Linked DNA regions of Diceros bicornis minor. The protein of the gene in region 3 interacts with the protein of the main gene of each other region in a biochemical or structural test. Links are inferred from orthologs where the notes say so. Each region holds a gene or a part of one and is shown on either strand. Other genes may lie near its edges. The genes, in order: CNTNAP2, CASKIN1 and CASK.

Region 1 (3,744 bases), on a different chromosome or scaffold from region 3:
TTCTGTTGTAAGGACGTTTCCACGTTCTTCAACGAAGTATGATATTATAGTCTCAAGGCAAAATATTTTGAGAATGCTTCAAATTTCACTAACCTGATGCTCTCCCATGATGATAATTTTTCCCAAAATGCTGACACTATCTATTCTGAGTTATTTAAAAAAATGACTTTTTTTGCATACAAAAATATGTGTAAAATTTTTATCATATCTGTTTTTTATTATGACATAAATTCCCTGCTACGAGATAATTTATTTAACATATTTAACATTCAATAATATTTTATAGAATATTTAGGAAAGAGAGAGAAATAATAATCTCTAGAGAATTTCGTTTCCTATGACACGGCAAAGTGAGGAGCCTGAAAATTTCCAGTTCAAAACACCTAGAAATGCTAGAGAAAACGTAACACACATCCTTTAAATTACCTATCTAAGAGACCAAAAGGTAGGAGAAGCTTTCAGGGGTCAAAGAAAAGGAAAAGCTAAAATTCAGGCTGCCAGATGATGCTGGGCTTTTAGTATTTAGAGGGTATTTGCTGATATTTGTAATGCAGAAGTTTGGATTTTAAAGGCCAAGCAGAATTAGAAATCCAGTGTTGGATTTGTGCAAGGAATAGGAACAACTCTCTCCACTCCACCCCCCCCCACACACACCACCACACTACCACATAAAGCCTAAAAATGCTAAAATCTCAGTTGAAGTAGATACTGGAAAAAAATTCACTAGTCAGCAAAGAGAGATGACAAGGAAATTTGTCTCTCTTTTCCTGGCCTATAGAAAGAAAAATTAAAAAAAAAAAATACTTACTGGGAACTCATAAGCCATAGGCTTGCTCAGCAAAATTATCAATTGCTCAGCTTTCAAATCTACACTGACGATAGGGTGTATCCCCCAAGCCAAAAAATTAAAAGAGAAAAAGTGGCTTTAAGTTGCTATCTTTGAAGGAAGAGTAAGTTCTCTCCAGATTGACTCTGGAATTACAGGATTCCTGAAAATAAAAACCTGAGAAATTTAAACTCACAATCCAAAAATATAAAACGTAAGAAAACAAAGCATAATGGACAAGATTCAGCAGAAATATCACACATAAAAATGTGGCCCCCCACAAATTTCAGATAAATTTTAGGATTGAGAATATGGTAAACATTCAGAAATTATTTGAAGAAACAAAAAATGGGATCAAATATATAAGAAAAGAATGGGATAGTATTAAAAGTAACCAGTCAAATTTGATAAATGATCAAATAGATCTTCCAGGAATGAAAAAATACTTTATTTAAATTAAAAATTCATTAGTTGTATTAAGCAGATGAAACAAAGCTACAGAAGATATTTGTGAACTGAAAGATAGATTGGATACTCAGAACACAGTCCAAAAATAAAAAGTGATTAAATATATTAAATATGAATTTTTAAATGTGGAGGATAATGAGGTCTAACATATATTTGATTAAAATTTCAGAAGAAGAGGAAAGAGAATGATGGAGAAGCAATTCAAAGAAATAATGTCTGAGAGTTTTTCAGAACTGATTAAAGATTCAGATTCAAGGAGGACAATAATTCTCAAATAAAAATTTAAAATAATCTAGTGATAGACATAGAATACTGGAAGAGCAGATCACCAAGGAGCTTAAAAGTAGCAAAAGAGAAGACAGATGACTCCTCAGGAATAATACTAAAGCAGACAGGAGACTTTTCAACAAGGGAAAACAAAAGGTAGAATGCAGTAGAATAATACATTTCAAGCGCTGAAAGAAAATAAAATTCCAATCTAGAATTGTATGTCAAGCTAAATGATCAAACAAGAAAGAAAGTGAAATTAAGACATTTTCAGACTAAAACTGAAGCAATTGACCACCAACAGACTCCCATTAAAAACCATCAAAACTGGGGCGGAGTCAAGGTGGCGGCGTAAGCAGACTCGGAACTCACCTCCTCCCGTGGACACAGCCAATTTACAACGACTCGTGGAAAAATTACCCCTGAGACAGAACTGAAAACTGGATAAGAGGAACTCCTGCAACAACGGACAATCCTAACTGAGGTAGAAGAGGCAGAGACTCCCTTCCGGAGAGGAAAAACGCAGCCTTCACGAGCCGCCAGCTTCACGGCCGCCGGGAGCAGCGCACAGGTACGCAGCCTCCCTGGAGACGCGGGGCCCTGAGCCGGGGAGCGCCCCCGCTGGGGGCATTTTGTGGACCCAGCACAGTCGAGACCAGCGGCATAATATCTGACTGTGCCTGCTACTAAAACACTGGGGAGCACCCCTAGAAAACCCGGTTCACAAAGAAACTAAAACTGGCTCTTAAAGGGCCTGCGCGCAAACTCACCCGTTTCAGAAAGCATCCTAAAATCACCAGAAAGAAAGGTGCACAGTGCTGTGGTGAAAAGAGACTCACCTAATAGGCCCTGAGTGCATCTCGGTGAGCGGTGAGACCTCTCCAGGGACTGGGACATTGGCGGTGGCCATTGTTGTGGCCCGGTGTGGGTGTGCTGACACAAACGCCATTGGAGTTCTCCCTGAGGCCTGCTAGCCCAGGGTCTGCCTCACCCACTAGAGCACCGATTTAATCCAGCTCAGCCAGAGCAGGCAGCCCACCCTAGAGACTGGCCCCACCCAACAACAAGCCCTCAGGCAACGTGTGGGCCTGCATAGATTGGTGACTGGATTCTCTGCAGCCTGGCAACTGAGCAGACTTGAGCAGGGCAGGGTGTCCACAAGCAGCTGGTGGAGAGTGTGGGGCGGTGGCAGAGTGTGTGGGGCTCCCGCGGTGGAGAGACTGGGTCCACATGGGGAGGTCGGGGCGCTCACAGAGGGCAGGGCTGTGTTGCCTGTGTGTGTGGACCTGTGGGCGGCAGGGTTTGTCAGCTGCAGAAGACTTGTGCTTCTCAAAGACCCACATAGGAGGTTTGCCCCACCTTCCAAAGCCTGAAACGATTGGGTGCTCCTGTGCCTGAGGCCAGCCCCACCCAGCTGCAATCCTCAGAGAGCTGACAAGAGACCTAATAGGCTAGAGGCTTACAGCAATTGTAAGGCCCTGAGCCTAACAACCTGCCACGCTGGGGGCCTACTCACTTATAAGAAATACTGCAACACAAATGTGGTATTAGAACTCACAGCCAACTGTGCTGGGGATCCCCACACCTGATAAAGAGACTGAAGGGCCCACAACAACTACAAGCAGCTGAGCATTACAGCAGCTGGCCAGGAGCATAACTCAGCCTCCCTGGGCGCCTACAGGGACAGCAAACAGGCCACAACAGAAGGACACACGTAGCCCACATAGGGGTCACCCCTGGAACATTGAGAACTGAGGGAAGCACACTGCAGGACTCCTAAGGCATCACTTGCATAAGGACACCTATCCAAGAGCAGGAGACGTAGCTGACCTACCTAATATGTAGTCACAAGCACAGGGAAAGAGGCAAAATGAGGAGGCAAAAGAATACATTCTAAGTAAGGGAACAGGACAAAACCCCAGAAAAGGAACTAAGTGAAACAGAAATGAGCAACCTACCCAATAGAGAGTTCAAACTAAGAGTGTGAAGGATGCTCACTGATCTGGGGAGAAGAATAGATGAACTCAGTGGGAGTGTCAACAAAGAAATGGAAGATATAAAAAAGAACAAATCAGAAATGAAGAATACAATACTGGAAATGAAAAATTTATTAGAGGGACTCAAAAGCAGAGTAGAGGATACAGAAGAACGGATCTGTGAGTTGGACAAAAGACTAGAAGAAA
Region 2 (3,744 bases), on a different chromosome or scaffold from region 3:
TAAACTTCACCGGAGACCCCATGGAGGGAACTGACTAGCTGCCCTGATCAGGCGAGCCCAGCGCCTGCTGCTTCCCCTCCATCACCCTCTGGCCACTTTCCTCCTGGACCTGCTTGACACTATGAGCCATAGGAAGAGGAGTGGCACCATATTTGCGAACCTCACCAAATGGTCCTAACAGTTTTGCCCGGTTAGGGTGATGATCTGCCCCTTCCTGCAAATGAGGAAACCCAGCCTGAGCCAGGACACAGACTCCAGCTGATCTGTCTCTGTGGAATGCTGCAGCCACGACAAGTTGAGGGCCAAGGCCCAGGAGGTCAGACGAGTGAGACCTGTGTGTGTGTAGGAGGGTGTCAGCATCTGTCAAGCAGGACTGTCCTGCCTGGGGCTGCCAGAGTTTGTGCTGGAGGCTGGAGGGTAAGCAGGCCTGGGTGGGGGCTCAGATTAGTGCTGGGGATGGGGGATTGAGCCCCCCTTGGCGGTAGGTGTGGGGAGTTGCACTCTAGTTGGTGCTGGGGAGCTGCACTGGGGTTCAGATTGAGGCTGGGGGGGCTGGTGCTTGCATTGTTTGTGGAGAGAGCCACAGGCTGCTGGGGAAGAAGGTGCAGTTGTGGGGGTGTGAGTTCCCTGACACCGAATTCATTATTGGGAGATTCCTCTTCACAATCCCTTGACACCTCCCACGGAAACCACGGGCCAGAAATGTCTGACAGCCTCTGGCGGGCCGGCTCGCCTGCCGCCGGCGCCCAGGTCTCTCCTACCCCGGTCCTCTCCCGCCCACTGCCTCCGAGTCCCTCCCGCTTTGGATCCCGCAGCCTCTGGAAGCCTCTCTCAGGTTCAGCCTCGCGCAGCCGCCGAGTCGGGGCTCACTGTCCGGCCCCTCGGCGGCTGCTGTCCCCAGCCCCTGGCGGTCACCCGGGGCCGCGGGGCGTCCGCAGAGGCCGGGCCTGATCCGCGCGGCCCGCACGTGGGGAGGGGGTGTCTCGGGAGGCCGGGGCCTGATATAGGGGCGGAGCCAAGGAGCCGGGCGCGCGGCCGGCGCGGGCGGACGGAGGTCGGCGGCCGCAGGAGCGGGACCCACGCGTCCGGGAGACGGCGCCAGGTGCCGCGCCCCCGCCCCGCGCCCGCCGCCGCCGGCCCGCGCCCCCGGGCCGCCCCCCGCCCGTGACGCGCTCCCCGCCCCCTCCGCGCCGGGAGCCGGAGCCCGAGCCGGAGCCCGAGGACGGCGAGGGGCGCGGGCGGCGGAGGAGGCGGCGGGGGAGGGAGGAGGATGCGGCCGGTGCCGCGGGGCCGCCGCCGCCGCCGCCGCCTCTGAGCCGCGCCGAGCGCACGGAGCGCAGCCGCGTCGCTGCGGTCCCGGCCGCGCCATGGGGAAGGAGCAGGAGCTGGTGCAGGCGGTGAAGGCGGAGGACGTGGGGACCGCGCAGAGGCTGCTGCAGAGGCCGCGGCCCGGGAAGGCCAGTGAGTGTGGGGGGCGCGGGGGGCGCGGGCGGGAGCCACAGCGCACCCCAGGGGCCATCTCCAGCGCCGAGCCCCCCACCCCTCCCGGCGCAGGGTAGGGAGGGGGATGTTGTCGGGTCCCCCGGGGCGGGGCGGGGCCAGCTTGCCCAGACCCTCGGTCCGCGCCCCCCGCTCCCAGCACTCAAGGAGGGGCGGCGCCAAGTGCCCGGCCGTCACCCCGAGCCCCCCAGCGGACACCTGGCGGCACCCACCTCCTTAGCGCAGGCGTTCGCATCCCTCCCTCCGTCCCTCTCCCTTCCCGGGCTGCGGGCTGACAGCTGGAGGTCTCTGCTGGGGCTTTAAAGGGCGAGGCGGATGCCCCCCCCAACTATGGAGAGAGAGAGGGGGCCCTTGCGGTGAGGGGAAACCACAGGGCTGACAGTCCCTGTCAGACCCCCTCCCCGCCCCACGTTTAATAACACGCTTAGCAGAAAAGGGGGGGCAGGACCATGCTGGGGGTGTGGCTGCCGAGGCATGGCCGGCTGGGGGCCATTTACTAATGGGGGAGCAAAGGTCCAAGGTCGCCCAGCCCAGGGCAAGCTGAGCTCCAGGCACGTGCGGACCCTGCAACAGACCCTAGTCCTCTCTGGCTTCTCTGCTGGAAAAGGGGGCTGTGGGGGGGAGGGGGGCTCCCACTGGCCATCCTGAACCCAGCGGGTGGGGGCCCCAGGAAAGGGTTGGAGCTTGGAGCTCTGATCCCGGGACTCAGCCTGGCTCAGCGGAGCTTCCCCGGGGGGCCGCTGGAGATGGATGGATGGGCGTGTGGACCAGCCGCGTGTGCGGCTGCGCACGTATGGCCGTGTCAGTGTGTCAGGGCACCTGTGCGGGTGTGGGCAGGGCTCTGCGGGGTGGCACGTGGGGTCTGAGTTCCTCCTCCCCATGACACCCCCAGGACTGTATGTAAGCCAGGGAGGCCCCCTCCCCTCTCTAGAGGGGGCATGCTGAGAACTGAGATGGCCTCTGGGGCAGGTGAGGGTGGGTCCTTGAGCCCCAGGAGGACCCCTCCACTGCAGCCCCTGCCTGGCCAGCTCCTGTCTGCTCTGTGCAATTAGAGAGCCGCACATCCGTGCCTTGTAGGCACACATACACAGGTTGGCCCTGCCTTCCACACCGGAGACCCAGGGATGGTCTGCCAGTTGGGGCTGGCTTGCGGGCCTCAGGGCTCAGACAGGGAGGACTTCAAGGTCGAGGCAGCCTCAGCTGAGCCTGGAAAGCCGGTGAAGGAATTGAGAGGTGGAAGGAAGGCAAGGTAATGCTTCCACCTAGTGGCCGTGCAACCTTGGGCACAGACAATTCCAGCTCTCGGGGCCTCAGTCTGCTCATCTGTAGGATGGGGACATTTGTAGTCCCTGCCTCAGAGCATTGTTTTAAGAACAGTGAGAGAGCACATGAAGCCCAGGCCCTCAGTAAGTGGTCAGTAAGTGCTAACTATGACCAACCCTTAGACAGCCCCGGGTGGGCAGGCAGGGAAGTGGGGGCATCAGATTTGGGGGCTCCTCCTCCCTTCTACTCTGGTCACCCGGGGAAGGTGTGGGGACTTTTACCTTTCCCTGGGTCTCTGCCTTCACCCCTGCCGAGTCTGGTCTCTGGGTGAGAGACACCTGCCCTGGCCCCCTTCTCTGGGCTCTCTGACTCACAGGGGCGGGCGTAATAAATCAGACAGAGAAATCCCTCCATGAATTAGCTCGGTCGTCATGACAACGCTGGCCTGCTTTGGAGTAAGATATATTTTGATTCAGCAAAGTACAGCTGGAGTTTGGGCCATGGCGGGGCAGGGAGCATCCAGCAGTGCTCTCTAGGGCCCCCAGACTCCAGAGGTGTTCTCCCAGGATCCCTGTTTCTGTGTTCTCCTCCCCAACCCTCCAGTGTCTCCCCAGGCTCTGCCAGCCCCCCATCCCGCCTCGACGGGAATGCCCCTTGCATGCAAGGCACAATGCCTAGCAGTTGTCCTTGATGGGGAGAAGAGACTGCTCTGGAGGGAAAGTCTGGGGGTGTGGTGGGTGGGGAGGGAGCTGGCCTCCTGCTGGGGGGGGACACCCTGCCTTTCCTTCTGGGCCAACCTCCCCTTTCCCGACTTCACGGGAGACCACAGGCCAGCGCTCCTGTGCTCTCACCTTGCCACCAACAGTTCCCTTCCAGCCTCAGGCCGAGAACTCCCTGCCTGCGGGGAGCTGGGAGGAGACTGCACTGGCCCTGCCTGCCCCGGGGAGGCCACAGGGCTCAGCTACTCTGAGATGGGACCCC
Region 3 (3,744 bases):
TCTGATTTGCATTTTTCAAAAAAGGTTTAGTACTCAAATCCTTAACACTGGCAAATCTTTCAGCCTCTTAAGGGAGTGGTCAAGGGTTTGCACAAAACGTTTCTGAAGAGAAAATAGGCTGTGGATCTCCACCCACCCCACATACACTTTGGTAAATACTATCTTTTTTTTTGTTTTCTTACCGCACTGAGAATATTACCAGATGATTTCTAGAAGCTGACTTATGAACTAATTGGGCACTTCCGCTGTGCAGAGGAACAAAGACTTTTTTTTATTGGTCCTCAACTGAGGCATATACCTGTCTGATGGCGTTGGCTCATTCCGCACATGCTCAAACAGAAATCTTCATATTGAATACAACCTAGCACAGCGGCAACACCCAGAACCTTGCTCCCTGGCTGACCCTGTGCATCCACTCCTTCTAGTTGCATTTTTATCCTGACATATCTAACATTTATAGGGAGTTTAGGGAGCAGAGTAGATGCTGGGGGGCTTGGGGGCCTGTGGGGGGGAGATATACAAAGGGGCTTAAAGTTTCTGTGTGTCTCTGCCTTCCTGACCTCTATCGAGGCTGTCTCTAGTAGGGCAGGCGCTGGATAGATATTTGTTGTGTTTGGGGCAGAATGCAGGAGAAGCTGTCTCTATAAATTGCCATTTGTTGTCGCACGCCTTCCTGGACAGTTTTTGTTTGGTCCTTTACTCGTAGGTGGACGACCTCCCTTCCCCAGCCATTTTCACTAAGGAATGACAGAGTAGCTCTAAAAGCATCCGCCGCCCAGCACGGTCTGGAGTGACAACCTTGCCACCTCTCCTCTTGCTTTCCCATTCATTAGGACCCTTTCCCAGCCTCTTTCCCCAGCAACAACTGGGAAAGGCTTCCTGCGGTTACAAAACAAGCGGGGGAGCGGCTGAAGTTCCGAGTCTTTCGCCGCAGAGAGCTAAGAACGTGCGTTCAGTAGTGGACCTTTTGTCCCCAGCCCCTTCACCGGCTTGGTCGCGGAGGTGACGACCCCGACCAGCCCCCGCCTAAGCAGCTGCCGCCGGCGCGCCCCTGCGGGCCAACTCCCCGCCCCTTCTAGATTCCCGGCGCCTTCCCATTTTGCCGTGACGTGGCCGGCGGCGCGCGCATGCGCCGCTCAGCCCCGTTTCCTTTCCCTCGGCCACCGCCTCCCGACTGGCTGGGGTGGGCGGGGCCTGTGGTTCGGGAAGCCTCGCGGCCTTAGGGGGAGGAGGGCGTGTGTGCGCGAGGCGGGTGCGCGGGGCGCGCGAGCTGGTCGGCGGCTGAGGCGGAGGAGGAGGAGCTGAAGGAGGCGGCCGGGGCTCCCGCCCGCAGAGAGAGCCAGTCCCGCGAAGCCCCCTCCCACTCCCAGGCGGGCGGTGGCGGCGGGAGGAGGAGAAGGAGGAGGGAGCGTCTCTGCCGCCGCCTCCTGGTCCCCAGCGCTGATCTGCCGCCGCCACCTCCCTCCGCGGCGATCCTCCCTCCATGGTCCTGCCGCGGCCCCCTCTGTAGCCCGAGCTGCCCCACGCCGCGCCGGAGCCAGCCTCAGCAGAGGGAGCGGTCGCGGCCTCGCGGCCCGCGCGGGCTGACGAGCAGAGAGCGCGGCGCCGCGCGGTCCCCGAGGATCCGCACGCCGGGCAGCGCGGCCCGAGCAGCGCGAGGAGCAGCGGGCGGGCGGGCGGCGCCGGGCCCGGGCCGCCCTCGCTCCCGCGCCCCGGCCCCGCCGCCCGCGCCGGGGCGGTCGCCCGCAGAGGAAGGCGCCGCAGTCTCCGGGCCTCGCAGCCCCGCTCGAGCGTCCTCGGCTCCGAGGGCTCGCGGGTCCTGAGGGGAGGAGGCGAGCCAGGGGCCGGGCACTGAGCTCTTTGGCGCCCCCACCCCCGTTTTCGGAGCCCTCCACGCTGCGGCCGCTGTCCCCTCCGGACCATGGCCGACGACGACGTGCTGTTCGAGGATGTGTACGAGCTGTGCGAGGTGATCGGCAAGTGAGTCTTCACGCGAGGGAGCGGGAGTGTGGAAAAATGCATTTCAGTGATGCCCGGGTCCTCCCGCGCCCGCACCCGTTCCAGGCCTGCCCCCTGCCCTCCCTCCCCTCCGCCTCCCTTGTCCTCCTCACCCGGGAGTATTTATAGACGTGTACCTGGACCTTCTGCCGGGCGGGGGTCTGGGGGGGGTTCTCAGCGATCCGTGGAGGCGAACGAGCCGAGGTCAGCCACCCCATGAGGCGTGGGGCCGGCTGAAATCTGCTGTCTGCATTTTATCTGACGGTTGCACAGGGACGTGGCAGAACCGATTTTATAGTTGCTTCCTGGGAACAGTTGGGGTTATTGTTATCTCGCGTGTGGCACAAACCATTAACGAAAAGAGCAGCTTGCGTTTCCTTTACTTGCGTGGAAAGATAGAGAAAGAACGTCCAGGATTTTTAATTGTGGGGTGTGTGTCTATTGTGCAGGATATTAGATAGATGCCTTTGTGTTCACCCCTTGCCCGGATTGGAGGGGGTCATTTAAGACGGGGTGCGTTCAGTTTCAGCGAATTCCTCGCCTGGTATAGACGAACGTGGAAAGAGTTGGGGGTAGCCGAATTTTTAATGCCTCGTTATGCAATGACTGTAAATCAGTGTTCGAGTCTTCCCTCGACTGTTGTTGGGATGGTGGTTAGCGTGGTAGAGCCGTCTGCTTTGAGTCACCGGGCTGGTCTAGAATATAGAACTGACAGTCCAAATGCTCATCCTTTCATCTGTGTTGTATAATTACACTAGGGAAAAGCAGAGAATCAGATTAATCACAGTGCTGATTGAGAATTAAATCTGCAGTTCCTCATCTAATTGTCCATTCCTTAAATCTGTTTTGAATAGTTTCCTTTTCATTCTTGTCAAACAGTATTCCAAGTGCACAATCCTGCTAATTTGCTTGTGAAGGAAATGCTGGCGATCTGAAGTTGATTTCCTAGTTCAATGTGTATTCTGTGGCTTTGGAAGTTGAGGAGATAAGATTTAAGAGCAATTTTTGCTTATTTATTAAGGATTGCTAGATAGCTGCCATTGAAATATTTTACCTCATTTTGGAAGCGGTGCTTTATTGTCTGTTTTAAGGTCCGCAGTTGGGAAATGAAACCAAGACCTTAGAGCAGTTGGCTCGCTCTCTTTCAAGTTGTCTGCAGTACTGAATTTCAATTTGTTTAAGTGCTGATAAATCATTTTTTTCTTCCATGTTGAGGTATTTCAGTGTTGCCTCACTTGGTGAAATTGTGAGTAGAGCTTGCTACACACTTTCCTCAGACCCAGTTGATGCAAGGACATGTTACTCCTTGCCTCTATTGTTACATGACCAGCCTGTCTACTAGAAGAAGGAAATCCAAATGCACCCTGACAAAGTGGTTGTGGAAGTGCTCTAGAGCAGTGCTGTCCAAAAGCTATATAATGCCAGCTGCGTATGTAATTTTATATATGTAAATATTACATATGTAAATTTTCTAATAGCCACATTACAAAGATTAACAACAGAGGTGCAGTTAATTTTAATAAAATATTTTATTTAACCCAATAGATCCAAACTATTATCATTTCAACATGTAATCAGTATAGAAATTATTAATGAGATATTTTACATCCTTTCTTTCTTCTTTGAAATCCAATGTGTATTTTACACTAATAGCACATCTCAATCCTCATACAAAGCTAAATTTTCTTCAGAAATACTTGCTCTGTGTTTAGGTTTCATAAAATTTGCATTTGCAAAAGTAGATTC

The links.
Region 1: the proteins of CASK (region 3) and CNTNAP2 form a complex in vitro, tested with the Homo sapiens proteins (2 studies listed by BioGRID and IntAct, with this or other methods). The link is inferred for Diceros bicornis minor from reciprocal best matches to the Homo sapiens genes CASK and CNTNAP2.
Region 2: the proteins of CASK (region 3) and CASKIN1 interact in a biophysical measurement, tested with the Homo sapiens proteins (2 studies listed by IntAct, with this or other methods). The link is inferred for Diceros bicornis minor from reciprocal best matches to the Homo sapiens genes CASK and CASKIN1.

Annotation. Positions count from the first base shown.
Region 1 is NC_080742.1:94,000,536-94,004,279, reverse strand, and holds the start of CNTNAP2 (contactin-associated protein-like 2), read right to left. Parts: upstream 2,503-3,744; 5' UTR 2,459-2,502; coding exon 2,401-2,458; intron 1-2,400. UniProt on the Homo sapiens protein: Required for gap junction formation. Required, with CNTNAP1, for radial and longitudinal organization of myelinated axons.
Region 2 is NC_080765.1:46,222,345-46,226,088, forward strand, and holds the start of CASKIN1 (caskin-1), read left to right. Parts: upstream 1-1,113; 5' UTR 1,114-1,367; coding exon 1,368-1,461; intron 1,462-3,744.
Region 3 is NC_080781.1:36,527,260-36,531,003, reverse strand, and holds the start of CASK (peripheral plasma membrane protein CASK), read left to right. Parts: upstream 1-1,356; 5' UTR 1,357-1,921; coding exon 1,922-1,980; intron 1,981-3,744. UniProt on the Homo sapiens protein: Multidomain scaffolding Mg(2+)-independent protein kinase that catalyzes the phosphotransfer from ATP to proteins such as NRXN1, and plays a role in synaptic transmembrane protein anchoring and ion channel trafficking.